Linked DNA regions of Drosophila melanogaster. The protein of the gene in region 2 interacts with the protein of the main gene of each other region in a pairwise test. Each region holds a gene or a part of one and is shown on either strand. Other genes may lie near its edges.

What was found.
Region 1: the proteins of Sse (region 2) and thr interact in a two-hybrid assay, tested with the Drosophila melanogaster proteins (one study listed by BioGRID).

Annotation. Positions count from the first base shown.
Region 1 is NT_033778.4:17,856,658-17,869,600, forward strand, and holds thr (three rows), read right to left. Parts: upstream 9,307-12,943; 5' UTR 9,194-9,306; coding exon 8,894-9,193; intron 8,839-8,893; coding exon 7,849-8,838; intron 7,791-7,848; coding exon 4,941-7,790; 3' UTR 4,857-4,940; coding exon of another isoform or gene 4,672-4,856; 3' UTR 4,616-4,671; downstream 1-4,615. Other genes in the region: orai, read left to right, coding at 154-1,140, 2,601-3,137; CG14490 (uncharacterized protein), read left to right, coding at 4,142-4,550, 4,672-4,856; mapmodulin, read right to left, coding at 10,553-10,596, 10,669-10,902, 11,126-11,431, 11,630-11,712, 11,775-12,151. UniProt on the Drosophila melanogaster protein: Required specifically for chromosome disjunction during all mitoses; maternally provided protein is sufficient until mitosis 14 then zygotic protein is required.
Region 2 is NT_037436.4:5,656,411-5,667,207, forward strand, and holds Sse (separase), read right to left. Parts: upstream 5,838-10,797; 5' UTR 5,745-5,837; coding exon 5,672-5,744; intron 5,588-5,671; coding exon 5,392-5,587; intron 5,329-5,391; coding exon 4,857-5,328; intron 4,800-4,856; coding exon 4,440-4,799; intron 4,386-4,439; coding exon 4,087-4,385; intron 4,030-4,086; coding exon 3,704-4,029; intron 3,648-3,703; coding exon 3,469-3,647; 3' UTR 3,290-3,468; downstream 1-3,289. Other genes in the region: lin-28, read left to right, coding at 1-45, 195-343, 413-563, 626-709; CG46320 (uncharacterized protein), read left to right, coding at 9,561-9,626.

The DNA.
Region 1 (12,943 bases), on a different chromosome or scaffold from region 2:
TGTTGCTTTTCTTAGAACTGAGAACTAACAGCAAAAGATACATTCTTAGCCTAGTTTAGATACTAACTGGCTAATATTTATTGTCGCAAAGAGAGGGCATAGAATATTTATCAGACTAATTATATCTGATCCATCCGAGAGCGAGAGTAGTCCATGCCACCCTTTGAAGAGGGTGAATCCAAGCCAGAGGAGCAGATACCTCTAAAGCCGCCCCGACGCCACAAGAAGATGAAGTCAGCGGACCAAGAGGCCGCCCAAACGCCGGCGGAGGATCACGAGGAGGAGCAATTGCTGCCGGGCAGCGGGACGAGCAATCTGCGTTATGCCCGGGCCAATTTGAGCCAGAGCAGCCTGATGCTGAGCCACCAGCAGGGCTCCTTCGAATCGTCAACCGAACGAACGGCGAGCAGTGAGACCCTGGATGTAATGCCGATATCGAGGCGCTACCAGGTGCATCCACAGCCGAACCGCTTGGGGATTCGGCAGCCAGCCTCGGCCTTGGCGAGCGCTCTGCATGCCACTGCCAGATTGGCGGCCAGTGTGGATGCCTATACGGCGGCGGCTACAGCCACAGCGGCAACCGGTGACTACGGCGATTATATGCGCCCGCAACCGAACCTCGGTCACGCCCACCAACTGCCCCTCACCCAGACAACCCAGACAGCCCAGCCCCTGCACCACCAGCTGCCCGCTCACCAGCTGGGCAATCTGAGAGCGAGCAATTTTGTGGGGTCGTCGCGGTATCTCTATCACAGCCAGTTTAATTCGAATTCGCCGCAAACGAGACGCTTCACTGCGCAGCGAGACGGGTCGCCAGCATATGCGGCTTCAGTGGCGGCAGCTTCAGCGGCGGCCGCAGCTTCAGCAGTAGCACCGATAGCGCCACTAGCACCACTAGCCTCCATAGCATCGCCCCCATTTGCGGCCCAGCCGCCGCCCTTTCAGTTGCGCACCTACCAACAGAATCAATCCTACCGCTTTCAGCCGCGCGGACACCATCGCACCGCCAGCAGCAGCATGTCGCAGTCCGGCGAGGATCTCCACTCGCCCACCTACCTGTCCTGGCGGAAGCTCCAGCTTAGTCGGGCCAAGCTAAAGGCATCCAGCAAGACGTCCGCCCTGCTCTCCGGATTCGCCATGGTGAGTTTAAACTCTTAATTATTGAGACTTTATACTTTACAAAGGGTTTATACAATACATTGACAACTGTTGTTTTAAAATTAATGTACGTAAATATCAAAGCAACATCATTATACAAAGCTAATTTTTCATCGAAGATACATAATGTAACAAATTAGTTTAGTTTTAAACTGAATCTCTAAAAGAGCAATTAACTTATAGATACCTTGGAAATGCACATAAAAATCCATTATAAATTACATTTCGAAGGAAAAGCGATTTGGCGCAAAAATCACATTAAGTTGGGCATTTATGTGTATTAAAATGAAACAATTAGGAATTATTAGGCTATTTTGTAGACTACAATTTAACTACTTTTTTGCCCTAGGTTATAGTTCTATGTTTTTTTTTTTAACATTAAGCCAACTCAATGTGCAGGGCCAGAAATGATGGCAAAAACCACATAATCTTTTTATTTGGACATCGCATTTCTGTTTGTTCAGCACAAAAGGCGGAAAATGCCACCACGAATATGGCATACACTGTAACAAAATAATTATTGTTATTTTATAATAAGAGTGGTTTCCACTTGGCGTATCGCGCAACGGAATGCAATCTGTTATTTGTTCCGTTTGAGTGCCCATTAACCTACTCGCAGTCGCATTTAAGTAATTTCAATCATGACAGGGATATATAAATATATATATATGTATATATATATATATATATCATACATCAATAATTAGCCTTCTGTACCTGTGAATATTGCTAACCAACATAATTATTTTCGATGCCGGCAGCAAGAAATTGAGGGCCAACGAAATAGATTTCGTTTTATTCCCACTATCGTTTTCTTGGCCAAACAAGTCTGTTAGCTGTTTGCCGTGCATATACTCGTATGTATTTCTCACCCATTAATTATGGGTAGTTTAGACTATTGCAATATTGTAGCAGTTTTGCTGAAGAGGAGCAAATATCAAAGCAAATATCAACATACATCATGATACATTCGTTGGTTTCCCAGCATTGTTAAAATTCCCACTTATTGTCTAGCAATTCCACACACGACACAGTTAAATCTAGATAAATTATTAAATTATAGTATGCAGTACATAATATTAAATAAATCAATTGGAAAATGTGCAAGTATTGCAGGTGCTGAATTATTATATTAATTAATTGAGTGACGAGGTATTTATATGTCGCTTTTTTTTTTTGGTTCATCAACTTGTTATGCATTCCACATGTACACCTAGCATGCTGAAGAAAGGGAGGCGCGGCATTAGGGGCGGATCAGATAAATTAGGTCCATTCAGATCACATAATATAAGAGAAAAGTTGCTTATTTGCCAATTTTGCAATGTTCTCGCGAGAAATGGCTAATAATAATAAGAGGCGATGCCGGGGAATCGTTTCGATTTCTAACCAAAATTAAATAAAAATCATTAATGACTTTCTTCACTTTTGCAATTTTCACATAGGTGGCGATGGTGGAGGTGCAACTGGATCACGATACGAATGTACCACCGGGCATGCTGATAGCCTTCGCCATCTGCACCACCCTCCTGGTGGCGGTGCACATGCTGGCCCTGATGATCAGCACCTGTATCCTGCCAAATATTGAGACGGTGTGTAATTTGCATAGTATTTCCCTGGTCCACGAATCGCCACACGAGCGTCTCCATTGGTACATTGAAACGGCGTGGGCATTCTCCACGCTGCTGGGACTCATACTCTTTCTACTGGAGATAGCCATCCTGTGCTGGGTGAAATTCTATGACCTAAGTCCGCCGGCGGCTTGGTCAGCGTGTGTGGTCCTCATACCGGTGATGATCATCTTTATGGCCTTCGCCATTCACTTCTATCGCTCCCTGGTGTCGCACAAATATGAGGTGACAGTCTCGGGCATCCGTGAGCTGGAGATGCTCAAGGAGCAGATGGAGCAGGATCATTTGGAGCATCACAATAACATACGAAATAATGGCATGAACTATGGCGCATCCGGGGACATTGTCTAGCATCACTTGGCGTATCCGCACAAGTGGATCGAACGAAAAAGACAGCGGCTCAGGGTAAGCTTCAGATTATTTTTAGTGAAACACACATATTGTAAATTTGTAGTTGATTAAAATTGTGATACGCGGAATTCAGTAGATTTCTACTATATATATATATATATGTGCGAGTGCTGCTGTAGTCCTTTATTTTACTTATGGCAATTGCGGATTAGCACGGATATTGACAATGATAAAAGACCCCAATTAAAGCAATACTTCGGATGAATATTCCTCAAAAAATTAGCTGATATTTGTTACATATTTATATTGCGTGTATTTTAAATTGTATGCCATGCCGGATTTTCTTTTTTTGCAACCATCCTTAGGCAGTCTTCCCTTTTTACGTTTAAGACACAACTTGATTGTCAAATTTAATATTAAGCCAATTGTGTAAGCGAAACCGCGCTGTAATTTATACCATATAATTTATGATTAAAAGAATTTTCTATATATATGGTGTTGGAGTTTTATTTTTAATCGTGATATATAGCTGAACAATAGATGCGGATTAAAAGAATGCAAAATTTTAGAGACAATTTGATATATTTTATATGCAACATAAAACAATTGTAAAATAAAGTATTTGAAAATGTACTGCAATATTTATATACGAATTATATTCATAGGTATTCCAATAGTTTTGGAAAATATAACAGTCTATTTTCGATCTTTACCGATGTAAGCTAAATAGCGCTGTAATTTATATACGACTGATTAAACGATTTTTACTACATACACTTAACCGGAACAAACGATTTTCTATTGAGCCAATGTCTTTGGCCTCCTTAAGTTAGCGTGTCGCTGCTGGAGGAAGCCAAATGGTGGCAAGACATGCTGCTGCTGGCTGGGGGGGTTCGATTAGACAAGTGACACCACCGCACGCACACCGCCGCCTAAAGTCGGACGACACCACATGGCACCGCCGCAATTGGACGGACTTGCTCCCGCGCTCAGTCATCGAAGACATGTCGTCGCGTACGAGCGGATATAGTAGTGGAGTTCGCTCTCAACGTTATCCTGGTGGGCAGTACCAGGGCAAATGGTTGGGCCAGCAGCCTCACGGGTTTGGGGTAAAGCAAACGAGCAGTGGACTTGTCTACGAGGGTCACTGGCAGAAGGGTCAACGGCATGGCATCGGAAGTTTGCGTCGCAAGGAGCTCGATGGCCGCATGGAACGCATCTACGTGGGTCAGTGGCGGGAGAACAAGCGGAGTGGCGAGGGCAAGCAGTTCTATCCGGACGGATCCGTCTACTTTGGTCAGTGGCTAGCGGACCAGCGAAGTGGAGAGGGCATCCTATGGCAGGCGGATGGCGGCATCTATGTGGGCGAGTGGCTTCGGGACAAGATGCACGAAAAGGGTTTACTTTTCACGGGTGAGTGTGATAAAGAAATAAGATATGTTCCTTTGGATGTATTTGTTTCATTTTATTTATTTTTTCGCAACTTTAAAAATGCATAAAGATTATAGATAATAAGTTAATATGTTATCCATAGCAACGGGAAATCGCTACGTGGGTCAATTTGAAGGAGGCTGCAAATCGGGCTCAGGTGTATTTTACCATGCCAGCAATGGACAGCGGATTCAGCACGGTTTTTGGAGCAAGGACATCTGTAGAACGTCACTACTGTCCCTGCCACAAGATAAAAACAATGAATTTATGTCAAAAGCTCTTTTGTAACACTTACACACAATATATATATATATTTAAATACCAAGACATTTTCGATAAGAATAAATACGAACTAAGGAGACTACTATCTAATCAGTGCCGATGCCGTGTGCGTGTGCTAATGGACTCCGTTTCGGGAGCCTGTGCTTCCAAAACCTGGCGCCTCGTTCGCTTGGATGAAAGAGTCGCTGTCTTTGGTGTCTCTACTGGTTGGCGCAGCCTGGCTCTGGTGCTCCGTGTACTTGTAGTTATTGTCGGCGTTTCTACTATTTCCAAGCTATTATCCAATGTTAGGACTTTACAAGCTTTGGATGTGGCCTTGGGTTTTGCCTTCTCCCTACTTTTTGGTTGTGTCTTCTTTGTGGACACCAAAGGTGAATCGTCATCGTCGCTTATCTCGATCGCTTGGCAGGCATTTAGATCCACGTGATCCGAAGGCGGTGTATTCTCTGTTCCGCTGCCACCGCTGCTACTGCAACTGGTAGCACTTGGTGGTCGTAGTTCCAGCTCCTCGTAAATTCTGAATCGAGGTGCCTTTTTGGCCGACTGTTTAACTTTAGACGCCGTATTCTTGACTGCTGAAACCGATCCTATTGCGGTTCGTTTCTTATCTTCGGGTGAGTGATTGAATACCAAAGCACGTCGAAGGATTTTGACCTGTGGCTTATCCTGACCCACGGGTTTGAGTTCTAACTGAGCCGTCTTTAGCTGAGCCAAAAAATTGTACTCGAAGTTAATGTCGACCGCGCGTGATCGCATTTTAAGGCCCAATTGAGCCGTTGATATAGCCTCTACATGCTTTCGCGCAAAGCGAAGATAGTTCAGATGATACAGCTGCTGGGCATGCAACATGGGATACAAAGCGCTACTCATCGGAGGTTTTTCCTGCATCCAACTATGCGCTCTTCCATAGAATTCGTCCAATTGTTCGCTGTTTCTCTGCAGAAAGCGGAGACGTGCATGTAGACAGCCCGTTACAAAGTACAAGCATTGCAGCTGGGAATTCTCTCGAAGATTCGCTGGCGCCACATCGAGTGTTATGTAGCGATCCAAGTCCAGTTGGGGATTTGGGCTATGTGGTCGCATTTTGAGCAGATTCGGCGAGGCCATATTTAATAGCTGCTGCTTTCTGATCGGCTCCACCAACTGGAGGAGATGCATATTACTAGCCAGATCTCTAATTGCTACATCCTTAATCGCTTCCTTTTCCGGCCTACTCGTTGGATTCAGCTGTTTTATACCTAAACAATGCTCGATGAGTCTCAACTTCGATTGCGCCTTGTCGAAACTTTCCATTTGCAAATTGGTCCATAACCATGCAAGGAATACCTCTATGGCTCTTAAAGCCAAGCCAGATTGGAGTACCAAATGTAGTGCAATGTTGGAGAAGGACAGTCTTTCGCTTAATCTGTTCGCAGAGCACTCGGTGCTTTCCCTGACAAGAGTCGAAAGAAGCAGCTGCAATGAGCCGCCATCTAAACTGGATAGATTGCAAAAACTTCGCACATTGTCCAGAAGAATGTCCAATTGACGCAGAGGAGTCGGCAGCCTGCAATTCGTTGGCTTCCTTTGCTGATACCCAATTCGAAAGCGCACCGTTTGCAGTGTAAGCAATACAATATCACTTTTTCCTTGTCTCTCAGGAAACTCTTCGCGAAGTTGTTCCACATGCAATAGAAGCAACTGGGCATGACTATAGCATTCCATTCTGGCATAGTAACTGGCGAGGTGACAAAAACAGAGCATTACCGTAGTTTGCTGACGCTTGAAGAATTTGCCATTTTTCAATTGAGGCCACAAATCATCCAGCAATTCCTCTGCTACTTCCACTTCCTCGCCGAGTTTCAGATTTAAACGAGAACTAACCTCATTCTGTGACAGAAAATGATTTAGGGCACGCAGATAGGTAAAACGATCTTCCAGCAAGCGACCCATCCTCAGAAGCAACAGCCAGGCATCATCCTCTTCTGACTGATACCCCATACTTGAAAGTGCATTGGCAGTAGCGATGGCATCGTCAATCAATGCCTCCCAATCAATAGACGTTTCATTTGCGCTCAATGGCTCTTGATCTGCTCGATCGAAGAAGTTGCTGAAGGCCGAGATGGCTTCACTAGCATAGTTGACCAATCGCTGCTCCCTTTGTATGTTCATCTGCCATAAATTCTTGCTGAGTAGCAGCTCCTCGAACATATTTTCCGTTATCTCCTTGGTGGAAACTTTGGTTTTTTGAGCCTCCAGTGCGTCCAGTAGTAGTCCCACACTTGCGTGGCCCAGGCACAAGTTATCCATTCGACTGAGCGAACGTTGTTGCCTTAGCTTATCATGAACCTCTATGCATTTCTTCGAAATCGAGTCATCCTTTCGCATTTGTCTGGCCAAGAGTACCAGATGATAGTCACTCGTTCGGCAACGAATAAGTGATTCCATATGAGCCGTAGAAGGACTCCTCAAATAGTGTAGTAAGGCAAAGAAATCGGTATCATACAGCTGTTTCTTCTGGTCCGGAGTGAGAGGGAAAGGTAGTGGCGTGGACTCGTGCCACTCGTAGACACACCTTTTGATCTCGGTGCCCTTTTTTCCCAGATTGTGATAGTACAAACAGACCTGTGATCTTAATCGTGCCGGATTCGTAATCGAGGCCAAGTAACTGGCTTGAATTCGACATGCTATATTGGAATCGCCGCAATGGGAGCTGGCCTTAAAGAGGCGTCGGAGTAAACTGCTCATATCCTGGTCGGCAACCAAAGGTCGCAGCTTCTGCAGTGGCTCCAAAAGTGGCAGCAGCACGGACATTTGCTCCGGACAGGTGACCTGATCAGCCACGTATGTCAGCTGGCGCACTAGCTTAATGATCTCCACACTGGTGGGACCCAAACACTTCATGGTCTTAGCTACATCCATTGAGTATTTGACTACTCCCAGTAAGGGCTTGTGAGGGCTCTGCAATAGTATTGAAATGTAGCATTAAAATTCCACAAAATTAGATAAAAATACCCACCACATTTGTTTTCTGCTCCGCCGCCGGTTTCCAATTAATATACGCATCTAATGCGCACAATCCATACGCCAATATGCAGTGCCGTCGCACGCTCTTGCATGCCTCGTGGGAGCAAGTGCAGCCCAAAGGACTCCTCGTAATATTAACCGCCAAGCTAGCACACGTCTGAAGCAACTGAAAGTGCGCTGTGTAGATATCGGGGCTGCTCTCTCCGTCAAACTGCTGCCAAAATATCTGAAAAGGACTCTGCAACTTACTGTTACTTTGATGGATGAGCACCTGTAGCAATTGAATGGCCACCAGAAAATCCGCTAGCCACTGTTCTTTGGCATGCGAGGCTACTTTGTGCTCGAAGAAGTGCTGAAACTTGCTAGACAAGTCAATGTAGGTGCGCTTAAAGTCGCCTGTGGGTTCCCGAACAAAGATTAACTTGATATAGTAGTACATCAGCTGTAGAGCATAGCACAGGTTTGATTCCTGGCGAAATAGTTCCTTGCTCATGCGCAGCAGCTGCAATGACATCTGTTGATTGGACTGTGGACTGAACATGTCGATTTGTACGAGAGCCAACGTGAGACTCAGGCACTCAGGGAATAAGTTGGCCAGGTTCGAACTGGTGCTGCTGGCCAGGAGCATAAGCAGCGCGTTGAACATTTTGGCAAGACTCTCCGACGGCAGGAAGCTTAGGGACTTGAAGAATGATCTACTTCTTTTGCCAAATAAACTCTCGTTTAGTTGAACTAGAAGCGTTGCGCATAGACTTATTTGCCTTTGCGTCATGGCTGCGAATAGATCTCCCAATGATTCCAAAGCATAACACAATTGACTTGTAGCTTCCAAGGGGAGTTTTTGCTTCTGCAGCAGCACATGGAAACCATTGAAGTGGGTCAAATGTATGTCCAGATATATTTTGTAGTCTGATTCTTCTTGCAGACGGCAGGGTTGTTGTCGGATGAGGTTGTACAGCTTCTGACAGGCTTCAATGGATCGCTGTGAACGGGAGAATTGGTTAGAAAGATTCGAAGATTCTTATAGCGACTCCTACCTGATGAAACAAGCCATGATGTATGTACCGCAGGCTGGACAAGTGCGCTTCCCATAAGCTTGGCTTCTCCTCGCAGGGAACTACGCGTGGCAGCATTATGCCCATGATGTCGCAGTAAAGATCCGAGTTCTGGTGCAGATTATCCTTTAAGGCGAGGCAAATATGGCGCAATACATTCACTTCGTATCTCAGAGGTAGTCCATCGCCAGACAACTCCCGGAATTTGGCTTCCACCGTTTTGCGGACTTTTTCCACATCGGAGCGGCTGCCCTTCAGCTGGGTGGCTATATCAGTAGACATTTTTTCAAAGGGAATTGGCACATTTAACTAGTTTAACTGCGACGCTTCCTTTTTTGTTGCTTTGCGCCAGATTTTGAGATCCAGTGTGACCGTCCATGCTAAAGCTGGAAATCCTTTAACGATAACATCGATATCTCTAGTTTTCATATCAGAACACAAATACTACAAATTCTTGTGGAAAATACTAAACTTCCATGCTCATTTCCGATAACGATACAATTTGTTGCTTTATTGATATCGAGATTTAAATAAAAAAAAATACGCTCATATGCGTAAGCTCTTCTCTTTAATAGAAATCATTTTCCCATTTTCCCCCGTAAAAGACAATTTTAAAATGATGTAGTTTATGTATTTCAGTTTCAATGGGCTGGTAAAGACACATCTCATCTCGTTAAATTAACGCGGGGCCTGCTTTAATAATAATCGGTTAATTACTTGTGTATTAAATGAAAAGTCTTGTCTAAAATTGTTTTGTGTATAAGATTTACTCGCCACATTTAATGAAAACACTACTGCCAATGAATAAGTGGAAACATTTCGGTATGTGGTAAAAGTACACTTAAAAGTATATAAAGGTAAACAATTCGGGTTGCTCAAAAGTGAGTGCTCTACGTTTACAGAATGACGCGGAGATAAAGTTTGTGTATCTGGGAGGTGGGTGATGGGTAACAATGTAAGTGTGTTTAAATCGCCTTGAGCAGAAAGTGGGCGAAGTAGGATGCTTAACTTATGCGTATTTAAAGAAGGAATGACTTAAGAGTTAGTTAAAAGTTCTTAGCAGTAAATTGTGTGATCGTTTTCACGCGAAACGTTGACAAATCCGCAGTTGTTCAAATAACGCCGGAAAGCTATTGTTTGATTTTCGTGACTGATTGAAATTTGAAAACAAGATGCTGCTGGATGGCTAAAAATTGTACACGTTGTAATTGTGTAATCTTTAACATAGTGATTTGGATTTCATGTTGCGAATCCTGAAGATGGCGAAGGTGTTTAAAATGAAACTGGAACTTGGGCTCGGATGAGGCTATACTAATGCGACTTGCTTAATTGGTTGTTTGCTTGGTTTCCTTTGCATTCCTCCTCGATTTTTCTCGCTTAAACATGTATTTTTTTCTTGTTTAGCTTTGTTTGATTATTACGTTCATTATGCTCCTCTTTGTTTGGGTTGTTTGTTGTTTTTTCTTTTTGTCGATTTCTTCTTTCATTAGCTTACATTTTAGAGAAACAAATTGTGGGTTTCCTAAAGGATTTATCATCTTTTTCTATCAAAATATGATGTGTGTGTGTGTTTTTGTTTTGTGTGTGGGTGTATATTTAAATTTATAACGTACAAAGACGCTATACCGACAGATCAGGGTTTTAACCATCATGCTTTCTCTTCTTGCCTCTGACTTGCGACTCGTCTGGAAAGAAAAAAAGGAAAATATATGGCATTAAGAACTAATGCTGTCTGGGATATAAATAATTGAACTTACCTGCTTCCTTTTCGCCATCCTTGTCCTTGGCATTCACTGATGCAGCCGATTCGTTTGCATCACCATCGGCATCATCAATATCGGAATCCTCTTCCTCGTCCTCCTCGCCAGCCTCGTCTTCGCCTTCCCAATCAGAGTTATCCTCTTCCAAATCGTCATTGTACACCTCCGACAGGGACACTTCACCATTCGCCTCTTCGTCGCTATCATCGCTGTCGTCATCTTCGTCGGAAACTGAAAAATCAAAGGTAAATTTGATTAAACCAACTTGCTTGTTTGTACATCTCGAACTTCCCTAAATCGATTTTTTAATGTGTTCAACGGAATTGAGATCAACAAACCTACGAACTACTATAACGCTTCTTGTGGGTAAGAGAATCTTTACTTTTTCTGCAGCATTTTCGAGTTAGAGAAGTTCGACTAATACTGAAGAAAAGTTCAGAAACGTTATGCTTACAATATGTAGCACTGCCCAAATTTAAAATGGCAAGGAACCAATACAGCAGGATTACAAAACTTAAGTTAGAATTGCTAGGAGGCTGCGGTGTGGCATTTATCACAGATTGTTCATCGGTTGAAGCATCAGTAGATTCCCTTAGCTGCAACTCTTTCAAGTATTCATCTAATTCGTCTACTTCTTTGTCCTCCGATTGGGGAGGTGGTTTGTCCTGCAAACTTTTTTTCGCCTTAACCCGCTTCTCGAAAGCCTCGAGCTCGTCTAAATCGATCTCTAAACCATTTAAACAGAATGCATTGCACTTATCTGAAAGGCGACAAAAGCCACGGTTGAGTATATGATATTATTGTTAATACGAAGAAAGCGCGATTCACAATAAGCGATTAAGTTAAACAGACGGACAATGGAATTTTAATGGTGGTTACATGGAAATCTTTTATAAAAAAAAAACTCCTGAATTCTGCGATTTAATCTTTGGTCTCTATAAATACGTCGAATACACACCTCCCACTTCGTCGGAATCGTTGCCGTTGACCTCATCATCATCATCGCCATCAGATTGCACCTCCTCGTCGTTGCAATCAAATCTGGAAGTGGTCAAGAAGTTACTTTTATTGTTCTACAATAGAAAGAAGTTACTCAAACTCACCCATCTAGGAAATTTAACGATGGCAACATCTTGAAGATCTTCTCGCGGTAATTATCCACTTGAGTAGCGTCGTTATTAAACAAATCCAGAACAACCAGATTTTTAAACTCCTCCAGGGGCTTCAGGGTTTCCAGATCCTTTATCTTGTTGCCAGACAAGTTGAGATATTGCAGTTTGGGGCTAGTGGTCAGATAGTTGAGGCCACTCGAAATCCGATTGTCGGACAGTTCGAGCTTCTTTAAATTGGGCAGCTTGGGGAAACCTTTCAGTGTGGTGAGACCCACGTTGATCAAGCTAAGCGATTCCAAGGCTGTGTATTCATCTGTAAGGCCAACGATGCTTGTACTACGGCAGTTGTCCAGATTCAGCTCTGTGATCTAGGTTATAATAGGGTTGAGAGTAAATACATAAATTAGAAGTAGTTCATTTTATTTATATGAAACGAGTTTTGAATAATTTTTAAACCAATTATTACTTATCGATATTAGTTATTGAAGACAAGAACAAACGATACCGATTATTTTGGTATATTTGATGTATTCATTGTGGAATATTCAAGCCTCGCAGTCTGGTCACATTTGTAACATTTTTTGACGCAAAGCGAACAGAAAAAAAAAATGGAGAACAATACATACGCAAAAATCGATCAAACGCTGAGAAATTTTTTTTTGTTGAAATGCAAAACGAAATTACATGCAAAATAACCAATTTGGCGTTAATGCAAATGACTTGGTAAACATTGCTGCTGCTCCATCGCCAAATTGCATATTTTTGTAATGCAGGCGACGAGGAAAAAGTGCCAACTCGCGTTTATGTAACCCCAATATATGTGTGTGTGCCACAAGCGTGTGTATGTGTGCGTGTGCTTCGACACAAAGCAGAATGCGCAAAGAGAAGAATGACGAGCAAAACGGAATTATCAAGAAGTGGAAGGGAGATGGCAGGGGAACAACAAGACTAGCCGGCACTCGCAGCAACAAAACAACAACAACATGGTTGACCGTGACGTAGTTTAGTTGTTGCGCCTGTCTGCGAATAGTGGGTGGGGGTGAGAGTGGGTGGTGTTTTGTGGTCTGATAATCTACAAATGAATAAATGTACACAACGTACGCCTTTTGGAGGCTGTGCAAGTTCACTTCAGATTACCCAATTATCAATATGTCACGACG
Region 2 (10,797 bases):
TTCCTTACACCCAACGACGGCGGCCAGGAGGTGTTCGTCCATCAGGTGGGTACTCTCTTTCTTGGATGAAACTGAGGTCTTTCCTTAATGCAAGGCCTTATGTACTATCCGATAGAATATGGAAAATCGGTATAATAATTTAATATTTAATGCATTAATTCAATATAATTCTCATTATAAACGTATGCATATAGAGCGTCATCCAGATGTCAGGTTTCCGATCACTGGGCGAGCAGGAGGAGGTGGAATTCGAGTGCCAGCGCACGTCGCGCGGATTGGAGGCCACCAGGGTGTCCAGCAGGCATGGCGGTAGCTGCCAAGGCAGCACCTACAGGCCGCGAATGTGAGCTCATACCCAATCGTTTAACTAATTTTCCCCATTTTCACCACCTACCCACCAACCACCCAACAGAAATCGCCGGACTCGCCGCATGCGCTGCTACAACTGCGGCGAATTCGCCAATCACATTGCCTCCGAATGCGCTTTGGGTCCTCAGCCGAAGCGCTGTCATCGCTGCCGTGGAGAAGACCATCTCCATGCCGACTGCCCGCACAAGAATGTGGTAAGTGCTCCTCTACGATTCCACAGCCCCATTTCGAGGACTAAGCCCACATCGTTTCGCAGACCCAAAGCCACAGTAATAGCAAAAGCATAAGCAACAATAGCAGCAGCAGTGCAGCCCAAGAGAAGAGCGAGGAGGCCACCTAGGAAGTCCTTGGATCTTGGACTGGTAGTTGGAAGTTAGAAACTTCCTTGACAAGTACAAAATGGAAATCTAAGAAAAAACACGCATCAAATCAAAGAAACCCACGTACAACAAAACTAGCTACTACACTTAGATATTAGCGGGAAGAGACGCGCCCCGAAAACCATCCTATCCTAAGTTTATTTTCTATTTTAACATTATTTTCTAGGAACCATAGTTGCTAAGGTTTTTCACTAGATCCCAAGTAAACGAATTAAGCTAGAGAGCATCCCTTGGTCTGTTTTTTGAAATCGGAGCTTTTGCACCCTGGGGCCGAACTAAAAGCTCTGTGCTGATAAGAAAGTCCTGGTCGCGAGTCACGTGGCCACTGACAACAATGGAGCTTTCCTTGGGGCAACAACAAACAGCTACAAATGGAATCACCATGAAAACGCAGAATCACTGTGTAAGCTTGGAAACCTGAAACCCGCCGCTCCCGGCGCTAAAGTCAGCACCCACCACCCCCTGAAAGTGAAACATAGTGAGCAGCAGCAACAACAAACGGATTGGGCGAGGACATGGCCAGGAGGAGCAGGGAAAGGGAAAGTCCTGCCTTTTTTTGGTCGCTCTCTTTTTCTCTCTCTCTTTTTCTCCAGCTGCCTCTCTGCCTCTTGGCTCTTGGCCCTTTTGGCTGTTTTTGTTGTGGTTTAGTTTGCAACATTTTGTTCGGGCTCGCTCTCTCGCGATTTTTGTCCTTCGCCAAGGAAGCAGGAGCAGGATACCCAAAAGGATGCAACTAAGGCCAGCGTCGAGCTCAGTCTCAGTTGATCTCTGCCAGAGAATTGTTGTGTGCAACGCGGCGGAATTTACATTTACACCATATTAACACAGAAAAATATGAAGACCCAAAAATAAAGGACCCTCAAGTCCAATTATCAAACTTAACCAAAAACAATAACTTAGACAACTAAAAGAATTTCAACAAAGTTAACAAAGCGTTTCAGCAACAAATTTTCAAAAACCCACAAACCCCAAAACCAAAAAAAAAACCATTAAAAAAATTAAAATTACACAAAGTAAACGGAAAAAGTTTGTACAATTTTTTTTTTTTGGCATAAAATGAAAACAGTTTTTCAACGCATAAGTTATACAAATATGGAAAGGAAAAATGCTGGCGAAAACTAAGAGTTCAAGGTTAAAAGAAAATGAGAAAATTACCTTTTTAACTGGGCAAACAATAATAAAGCATCAGCATCCACTGATAGAAAACAATAACAATAACAATAGCAACGTCAACGTCATCGCATATTCATTTGGGCCAAACCACAACCACTCGTACCCACACACAAGCACACACAAGAGCACAACAACACCAACACACCCAGAGGCACACAAACACACACACACACACACACTGGGAATTTACAACCAGATTTACATGGGGAGCGCCTGTTATGTAATATCCTCCTTCTGACGCTGTCTCCTGTCATGTTCCAAGTCCTTGTTCCTTGTTCCCTGTCCCCATTTCTCGATTTCGCGATTCTCGCGTACGTGTGAGTGTGTGTCTGTTTGCGTGTGTGTGTGTTTTGGGGGTGTGGCATGGCATGCACCTCGGATTTGCTGCCCCTACGGGTGCTAATTTGATTTAACTCGCTGCATGGGCACGGCATTGAGACACCACGACGAAGGACGAAGGACACTGGCCGCCCATCCCAGCTATTGGTAAATCATAAAAATAGGGACGCGCCAAGGTGTGTCTGCCTTTTTTTATGGCATGCAAATCGAGGCCGTAACACAAAAAAAGAAAAACACACGCATATTACGCATACGCCGCGCGCTCGGCGATTAGATGGCTGGGAAGAAAAGAAGTTATTGGGTTGGGCCTAATTAACGAATGTGTGTCATAATGCGACAGGCGTTAGTAGGTCAAGTAGATGCGATGCTGGGCGATTGGAGGTCGCCGCAGGTTCGGTGGGGGAAAAGCTCTGGCCAAAAGGGCAACCCGAGGACGAGGATGGGAACGAGGTGAGATGAGTCGCGTTTTTGGAGAGCAAACTGGGCGACAAGCCCGAGTACGAGTGCGAGTAAATAAATATATGGGCGTTTCTGGGCATTCAGGCATTATTGCACATTCGCCCCGTGGACGAGGGTTTAGCCTAATCCCCACTCGCATTTCAATTATATTGCATTTTTATAAATTCTCAATGTTTCCTTCACTCAATATCTTTCTCTCTGACTGTCGTTTGCACCACACTTTCACTTTTTTACTTTACCTCACCCACATTGCGATTTGTACTCGAATTAATGTTTTTCACTCCCTACTCTTGCACAGGCAAATGTAAGAATGAATCTGTACTCTGTATCTGGCATGATTCCAACTAAGGAAAACGAAAACTCTAACCTAAATCAATTAATCTAAATAGTTCTCAAACGGTTTAAAGTTCCAACAACACAATGTACAAAGTCTAAACATGTTTAAAACTTCTACTTAAAACTAAAAACTTAACCGAAATCAAGGACACTTCAGTTAAAGTGCTAAATCCATAAGGAAACATCACTCAATCTTCCAAATAAACTAAGAAAAGGTAAGTGCCTTGGAATTTCTTCCTAATATATAAATGTTTAGTTTATTTTTACTATTCTGAGTGTTACATTTAGCGTTTAATGCAAACTTTGAGCACCACTTTCCACTTGAATGAAGTAGTTCAATTAAATTAAATTATTGTACACAGTTCCATACGCAAAACTTTGCTTAGGGAGATCGACTCCACGACGAAATGAGCTATAAAGGCAGCTTTTCCACGGCCAAATTCCATGCGGGAAGTCCGCGGCACACGTAAATGCAGCAGTTGTAGATATTCGGCTCCACTTTTCCTTGCTGTACGAGAGATAGGATAGAGCACAGGCTGCCCAGATGGTAGTTGGGTTGATCGTTCATGGTGGGCGTGGTTTCATCTTTTCCTAAATTTAAAAGAATTCCTTAAATATGTAACTTAATAATATAAATAAGACATTACCTTTTATAATGCCATTTTTGAGCCAAGGCACCCGATCAATATGTGTCCACGGAATCACTTTGTTATCCCCCGGGGCCAACCAACGACTCAATATTGTCACCGAAACAGTATCCATATTACCATCCAAGGCGGGCATGAGAGTACCAACTATCGAAGGACACAGAGCTCCATGGTAATAATCATGGGCTCCATACAATGCGCTGTACAGGCCCGTGCCCAACATGCGTGTAGAATCGCAGCCGAATAGAAAAACAACGCTGCGTACCCGAGCCCGGCAAATTATGCGACCATTGACGTACTGCAGCCCAGAACCGTGACCTGCGTATCTAAAATTTAAGGCAAAAGTATTAGAATGCCATTGTTCGCTTGCAATCATATCTTACACAAAGCAATCCGCCTGTAGCGCCTGTTTCACCATCACCTCCTCATTGGGCACGGTTTCAAAAAGATGCTGCCACTGGGAGAGCCAGTACTCAAAAAAGCTACGCAGCCTGCGGCCGGAGTTGACCAAATCCGCATCTGGGTTTATTACACACATGCCACGTTTAATATTTGTTGTGTAGTAGCCATGCTTTATGTTTGATTTGTGATTCTGGAACAAGCGCCATAGGCAATGCAGTGATTTGACGCGGGAGAATTCCTGCACGGTGACTAGTTGTTCCCAATGGAGGTGGTCTAGACGCTACATAAATAATATAGTAGTATGTATTATAGTATAGAAATTCAGATGAACTACCTCATCGACTACCAGGATGATGGGAAATCTTCTGCTCGCCAGGGGCTGACGCTCCTCCACTTCCGCCCAGTCGCTGGCCAAACCCTTAAGCAATTCGTATGCCGACTGGATCTCATTTTCGTTGCTCGACAGCTCATAGCAGATGAGTTTGAGATCTGCGATTTCCAGTCGATTGGCATGCGAGGCCGCTTGGGAAAGTAAAACACGTTGGTGGGTACCCCATTGATTAAGCAGACAGAAATCGTCAACACGAGTATAGGTGGCTTTGATTTGTTTTTGAACAACAGTGCAGTCATATCTTTTGCCAAAGAACAGAAAGGAATATGGAGATATTATGTCCCGAAAGTCGGCAAGTAGTTTCTAGAAGAGGTAAAGTAATGCTAATAAGATACATTGATATTAATGTGTAGTACTTACTTGCTGAAAAGTGTCAAAACCATTCAGCTCCTCCCAATACTTCTGCTTAGCCTCTTTACCTTTCATGTTGAGTGGATCCACGGTTACCACTCGCCTAAATCTTTCCACCAGAGTGCTATACTCTCGAAAGAGATTTGCCGTATTTTCGTTGGAAATTTTCAGGCAAATCGGTCCCAGTTGGGAACTTCTACAGTGTCGGAGCAGAGTGAGATATATTGCTCCATCGCTGGCAATGATCTCATTGAAAACGGAGTAGGTGGTGGCGGGATTAAAGCTCTTGCAGAGCTGGAGGACACACCATTCTTGGGGCAGACTATTGCATTTCTCTGAAATGCGAGTTAGACCCTCTGTAGGATCCTGGACATCATCCAGGAAGTCTAGATACTCTGGTATTTCGTTGATTGGCTTCTTTGGCTGTTTCTCCTGCTCCATTTGCTGGAGGTACTTGATGATGTTCTGCAGAAATTTTTTGCTAAGAATAATGTTGGTAATGTTTGTTTGAGTTTTAAAAGAGTTTAGTTAGTTTATATATCACCTTTTGTAGTCCTTTTTCTCCAGTTTAGTGGCTGATTTGATCAGCTCCTCTGCGGTGGGACGCTGATTTTCCAGTTCCGCCGATTCGGTAAGGTAACGCAGATCGGTGGACTGGAACTGGGCTTTAACCTGGTAGTAAATTGAGTGCTCCACATTGCCATTGCGGTATTCCTCATCGGCGCGCAGTAAATTATATTCTGCAGAAGAAACATGAACATTAACATATTATTGCGAAGATGCAGTGGGAATTTCGAAGTTTCTGGGTCTGCTTATATAGTTACCCTTCGCCTCGGGGCCAACATCTGAACTGGTGAAACCGGCCAGCATCTCAGCCTCGTCACCGGTTTCCAGCATTTCCTATTATTTATTATTTACTTAATTGCTTATTTTCAAACTCGAGTCCGCAAATTGCTTCCTCCTCTTCGGACGATATCGATAGATGCCTTGTAGCCTTTACCAACACTGAGCTATCGATGGGCGATGTGCGATAGGAAACTAGCTCATTTTGTGGTATTTTCTAGTACTTTTTTTGAATTTCGCGGTTATTATTGTGAAAAGCATTGTACTTAATATTAGTCAAATTCGTAAGCTTTAACAAAAATGAAACTTAATTAAAAATATGAATATTAATATTTACTTTTCTGCAAGCAATTCGGGTACGCCATATTACTGTATTAATTACAGATAACTTGTAATTTTTACGATCATAGTTATGTAGTTTTAAAGTAATTAAGAATTTTATAACATCCTATGCCCAATAAACTATAATCGTACGATTTAAGGCATTATAGCTTTTAGTACACCCGTTTTTGTTGTTTTGCTGTCAGCAAAAAGCTTTCCCTCTTGTTGATGTTTGCGGCCGTTCATTCATAAAAACATGAATCGAGATGAAAAGGTGCAAGAGATTGCAGGTTGGCCGGAAAACAGATGTTAGGGTTGCCACGCCACCTAAATAAGGATGAGCAGCGGAAGCTGCGCAGCAACCACACCCTCTCAAAATGGAGCCTTAACATCAATTAAATATTTGTTCAAGTGTTTTAGTGTCTGATTAAAATATATTAGCGCTATTTTCCCATCAAATGCAGTTCATATTCATTTCCGAGGGTCAACCCTTAGCCTTTAAAGCCTTTTAGTTTTTGGCAACCCTAAACCACACCCTCTAGTTGCCCTAAAAACCTTACGCAACAACAAAAGCCAAGTACACACATATGTACATACCGTACATATAGGCGGCCAATTAATGCATATGCGAGCCGAGATACAATATTTTATTTTTTGACTTTTGGTTAACTTTTAAGCTGGCTTTTTTGTTGATTTTTAAATATGTACTTTTTCCAAGACTTTGTGACGTGCGTCTGGAGCTCTGCTGCCGCCTCTGCCGACGTCAGCTGCAAACTGCAGTTTTCTAATGACGTCTTTTGGAGGCAGCAAGAGATAACGGTATTTAACCGATGCGAGTGGGCGGCTCGAGCTTTGATGCCACGCCTATTTCTGAAATACAATTTTCAAGTATTTCTTGCTAATTAAAACGAGTTGTTAACAATATTCAAAATATGCAAAAACATTTGTTAAACCTTTAAAAACTTTGAAGTGCAAGCGGCTAGAGCGAATAATTACCGTTAGAGAAGCTGCAGCTGGTCGCTGTTTTAACTCAACGAAAGCTTCGATAAATATTGAATTGGCGCAGGGGTATAAGGACCTTTGCTCTCTTTGGTTTTGCCTCTGCCGCTACTGCGGCCGCTGCCACTGCCGACAGCGACAGCGACGCGAGCGTCAGCATCCTTTCTACTTATTAATTTTGATGTTGCTTTTCACTTTTACTTTGTCGGGAAACGTGCTGTTCAAGAACTTTTGCCTGGTGGGCCAGTGTTGGAAAAGAGAGGCTTGATCCTTTAATCGGAAATTTTTTAGCTTGATTGTCATGATGGAAAAGAAAAGACACCACCCCCTCACACCACTAAGCCAGCCCTATCACCAAGCCCCCCTTTAAATTCACTGGCCTTTATCCTTTATGTTTTTTGGCTGCATTATTAATGTCGCTAACTCGGCACGTTCGTTGTCCTTTCCGCCTAGCAAATTATAACATTAATATTACATTAACACACACGTACGCCAAATCACACACACATACACATATGCATTGGGGAGACATTAAAACTTTCGCACACAGCAGCACATGTAACGAAAGGCCAAAAACAACAAGAGCTAAGCCACCCCAAAAACAAAAAAAATACCGAGAGTATGTGTGTGTGTGTGTGGCACACATTCCAACAGTTGCAGCGATGTCGCGGTCGACTGCGCAGTCGGCGTCGCAGCATCCCTCTGCATTTGAGCGACTCAAAACGAATTTCGAAGTCGACGTCGACGGTTGTGTTTTGTCGCTTTTTCTTGCTTCCAAAAAATACTAATATAAACAAAATAAAGCTTTTAACTAGCTTCACAAAAAATAGAAAATAACTAAGTATAAAAACCAGCTGAAATAATAAGAAAAATCCTAAGAAAAGCCATTTGAAAAAGCGGAAAGAGCGTAGCATACTTTTCAGCCCCAGTGGATAAAACGCCCACGAGGCAGACGAAAATGAATTAATCAAGTAAAATTCAAGCAACAAACATTCCGCAACAAGAAAAGACATTTAAGTAAATTAAGGTGTGGTGATTTATGCAACTTTTTTGAGGCACACACGCAGCGAAAAGAGAGGGGTGAAGGGGGCGTTGAAGCCACTGCACATACCTCTAAGCTAAGCCAACACACACACACACACACACACACACACTCGCAGGGAGAGAAGCAGGAGCAGAGGCAGAAGAAGAAGCAGAGGCTGAGGGCATACAAAATAAAGGATAACGACGGAAAACCAAGAAAGAAATCGAAATTAAAATATAAGCCTGTGGGAGAAGAAAGAGGAGTGTCGGAGAGGGGGAGGGGCAGCAATTTTCGGCTGTCGCTGTAATTCGACGCTCATCTCCTGCTCTACTTTGCTCTCTTTCTACGCTCTTGCCCGCTTTCTCTTCTCGCCACCGCTTTGCTCTCCCGTTTCGTCAAGTGAAAACATTTCGTTTGGGCTTCGTCAAGTTTTGTAGGTATTTTGGCTACACGAAAATACACAGCGCCTTCATCCTTCTCGGTTTCGTGTCGAAAAACGGAATATCTCGTTATTTCCAGTCGAAAATCGAACTCAGACACACCGAAAATTCCTAAAAATAAAGTGAAAAGTGATCAGTTAATAATTAACGAAATTAGTTTCGAAAACATACGAAAAAAGCAGGCCAAAAACGAACATTTTTTCGGTGGGCCGCGAAAGGCGTTGCCAAATCAAAGGCCACAGGATAAAACAACAGATCCGTAACAAAATTTCAAATTATATCCTAATCGCAGGCACTAAAGCAAGAGGAAAATCCCTAACTACAAAAGATAAAATCAACTAAGCTATACAAAAGTTAATCATACGCACCGTTAATAAGCACCAAGTGAAAAACTGACTACAGGAAAACGCAGAGCAAAAATAAAGGACAAACAAAGGAGTAAAACTCTCTAGAGAAGCAGAAGAAAACAGCAGTATCAGCAAAGAACATTCTGCTGCATAAATAATACACTCGACATACGTATACGCCATATAGGCCAGGACATACCAGCAGGATATATCACACACACACACGCACGCACTCACACATACGGACGGGCAGGACGTGCTCCTGTTCTATTATTTAACTGCTTTCAACGTCAGCACCACGTTCAACCCGACGAAAGTCGATTGAAAGCCGCCTTCAACGGCCACAGCATCCCTCTCTCTCTCTCTCTCTCAGCAAACACAAAAAACAAAAAGGAAAACGAGAGAGCGAGTCCTTTGCTTGCGCCAGTGTGTGTGTGCGCGCGTGTGTTCGCGACAGCAGGAGCGACGTCAACGTCAATCCGCTCAATATTTATACATTGAACCGAGTCTCCAGGCCCACGAGTTTTGCGGCCCTCACAACGCAGACGCTCCTGGTCCTCCGCTGGGGCCCAAAATAAATAACATCTGACAGCTGCCCAGAGTCCTGAATTCGGAGTCCTGAAAGAGCACTCAGCGGTTAGGGGCTAACAAAAGAAGCATAGCCAAAGCGTGTGGCGATACAATTTCCCTGGGAAAACATCAACCAAACTGAACGCGATCCTAAAACGAAAACAAAACAATGGGCGCCAAGGAAAGTGTCGAGGCAGCCGCCAAAATGAACGCCGATGGTTGGGGCCATGTGGAGGTGTGTATTATTTATAAAAAGCAAAGCAAACAAACTAATATCACAGCCATAAATTCCCAAAGCACAAAACTCACAAGCAGTAGTAGTAGGGTTTTTTATGAGTAAAAGGTTTTATCTAAGTTGTCGTAGTATCTCAAACATATGGCTCTATATGGTTGAGGGGTTCTATACTTAAAAAATATGGATAATTTCTATTCTGTATCTTTTGTTGACTATCAACTTAATCTATCTATGAAGTTTGGTTTGATTTAAATTACCCAAACAAAGATCAAGAAAGATGTATATATTTTATCAAGAGTCTCTAGAGATCATCAACCCGAAACTACCAAAAGAAAAGCCCCTAAGATTGTCAACAACTTGGTGATCCCTTTCGATATGTCGATCATCGCCCCAAAGTGTGTCAGACCGACGATCCCGATTGCAACTTTAATGAGGGTGCCGAGTGGTGAGAGTAGATTGATTTAAAAATAAATTAGACAACAACACGTGCAGCAAGCACGCGAACTGCTCTCAGTCCGAGCAGACAGTTCCATTTTCCCATTTTCCTCTTTTCATTTTCATTTTCATTCCCATAACCACTCTGGATTCCCATTCATGTTCCCATGCCCATTGTCGTATGCTGGTCCATTTGATGATCGCATGTGCACATGTTGCTCGATCATATCTCTTCAAAGATCTGATCTCTCGAGCGGCCGGAGAGCTTGGAAGCAAACTTACATATATATGTGGGCGGTATGGGGCGCTCTCGAGACGCCAAGAGATTGGGAAAAAGAGTCTAAAAATCAGCAGAGATGAAAATTCGTTTGCATTTCGATTTTCAGTCAGTTGAGTTTGCGGCGTGCATTTGTGATGTTGTTTTGGCTTTTTCAAGATCTCGTCAGCCCCGATCCGTAAACCGCAATTCGAATCGCTTGGAAGCCGGCAACTGAATGGCCAAAACCGATTCATAAGAAACAACAAACAGGTGTCCGTGTGTGTCGCCCTCTGGGTCAACTGATGTAAACAAAAGTAGCTATATATAAAATCACCTAAATATATACATATATCGCTATCATGGTGATCGAAATGTGCTTCTGTGCCAGTGAACAGTGAATAACATGTCTGGCCGACATATGGGCCAGTCTGGGAATATTTATAAAAATTTAATCTACATAAAAATAAATTCTGCTCC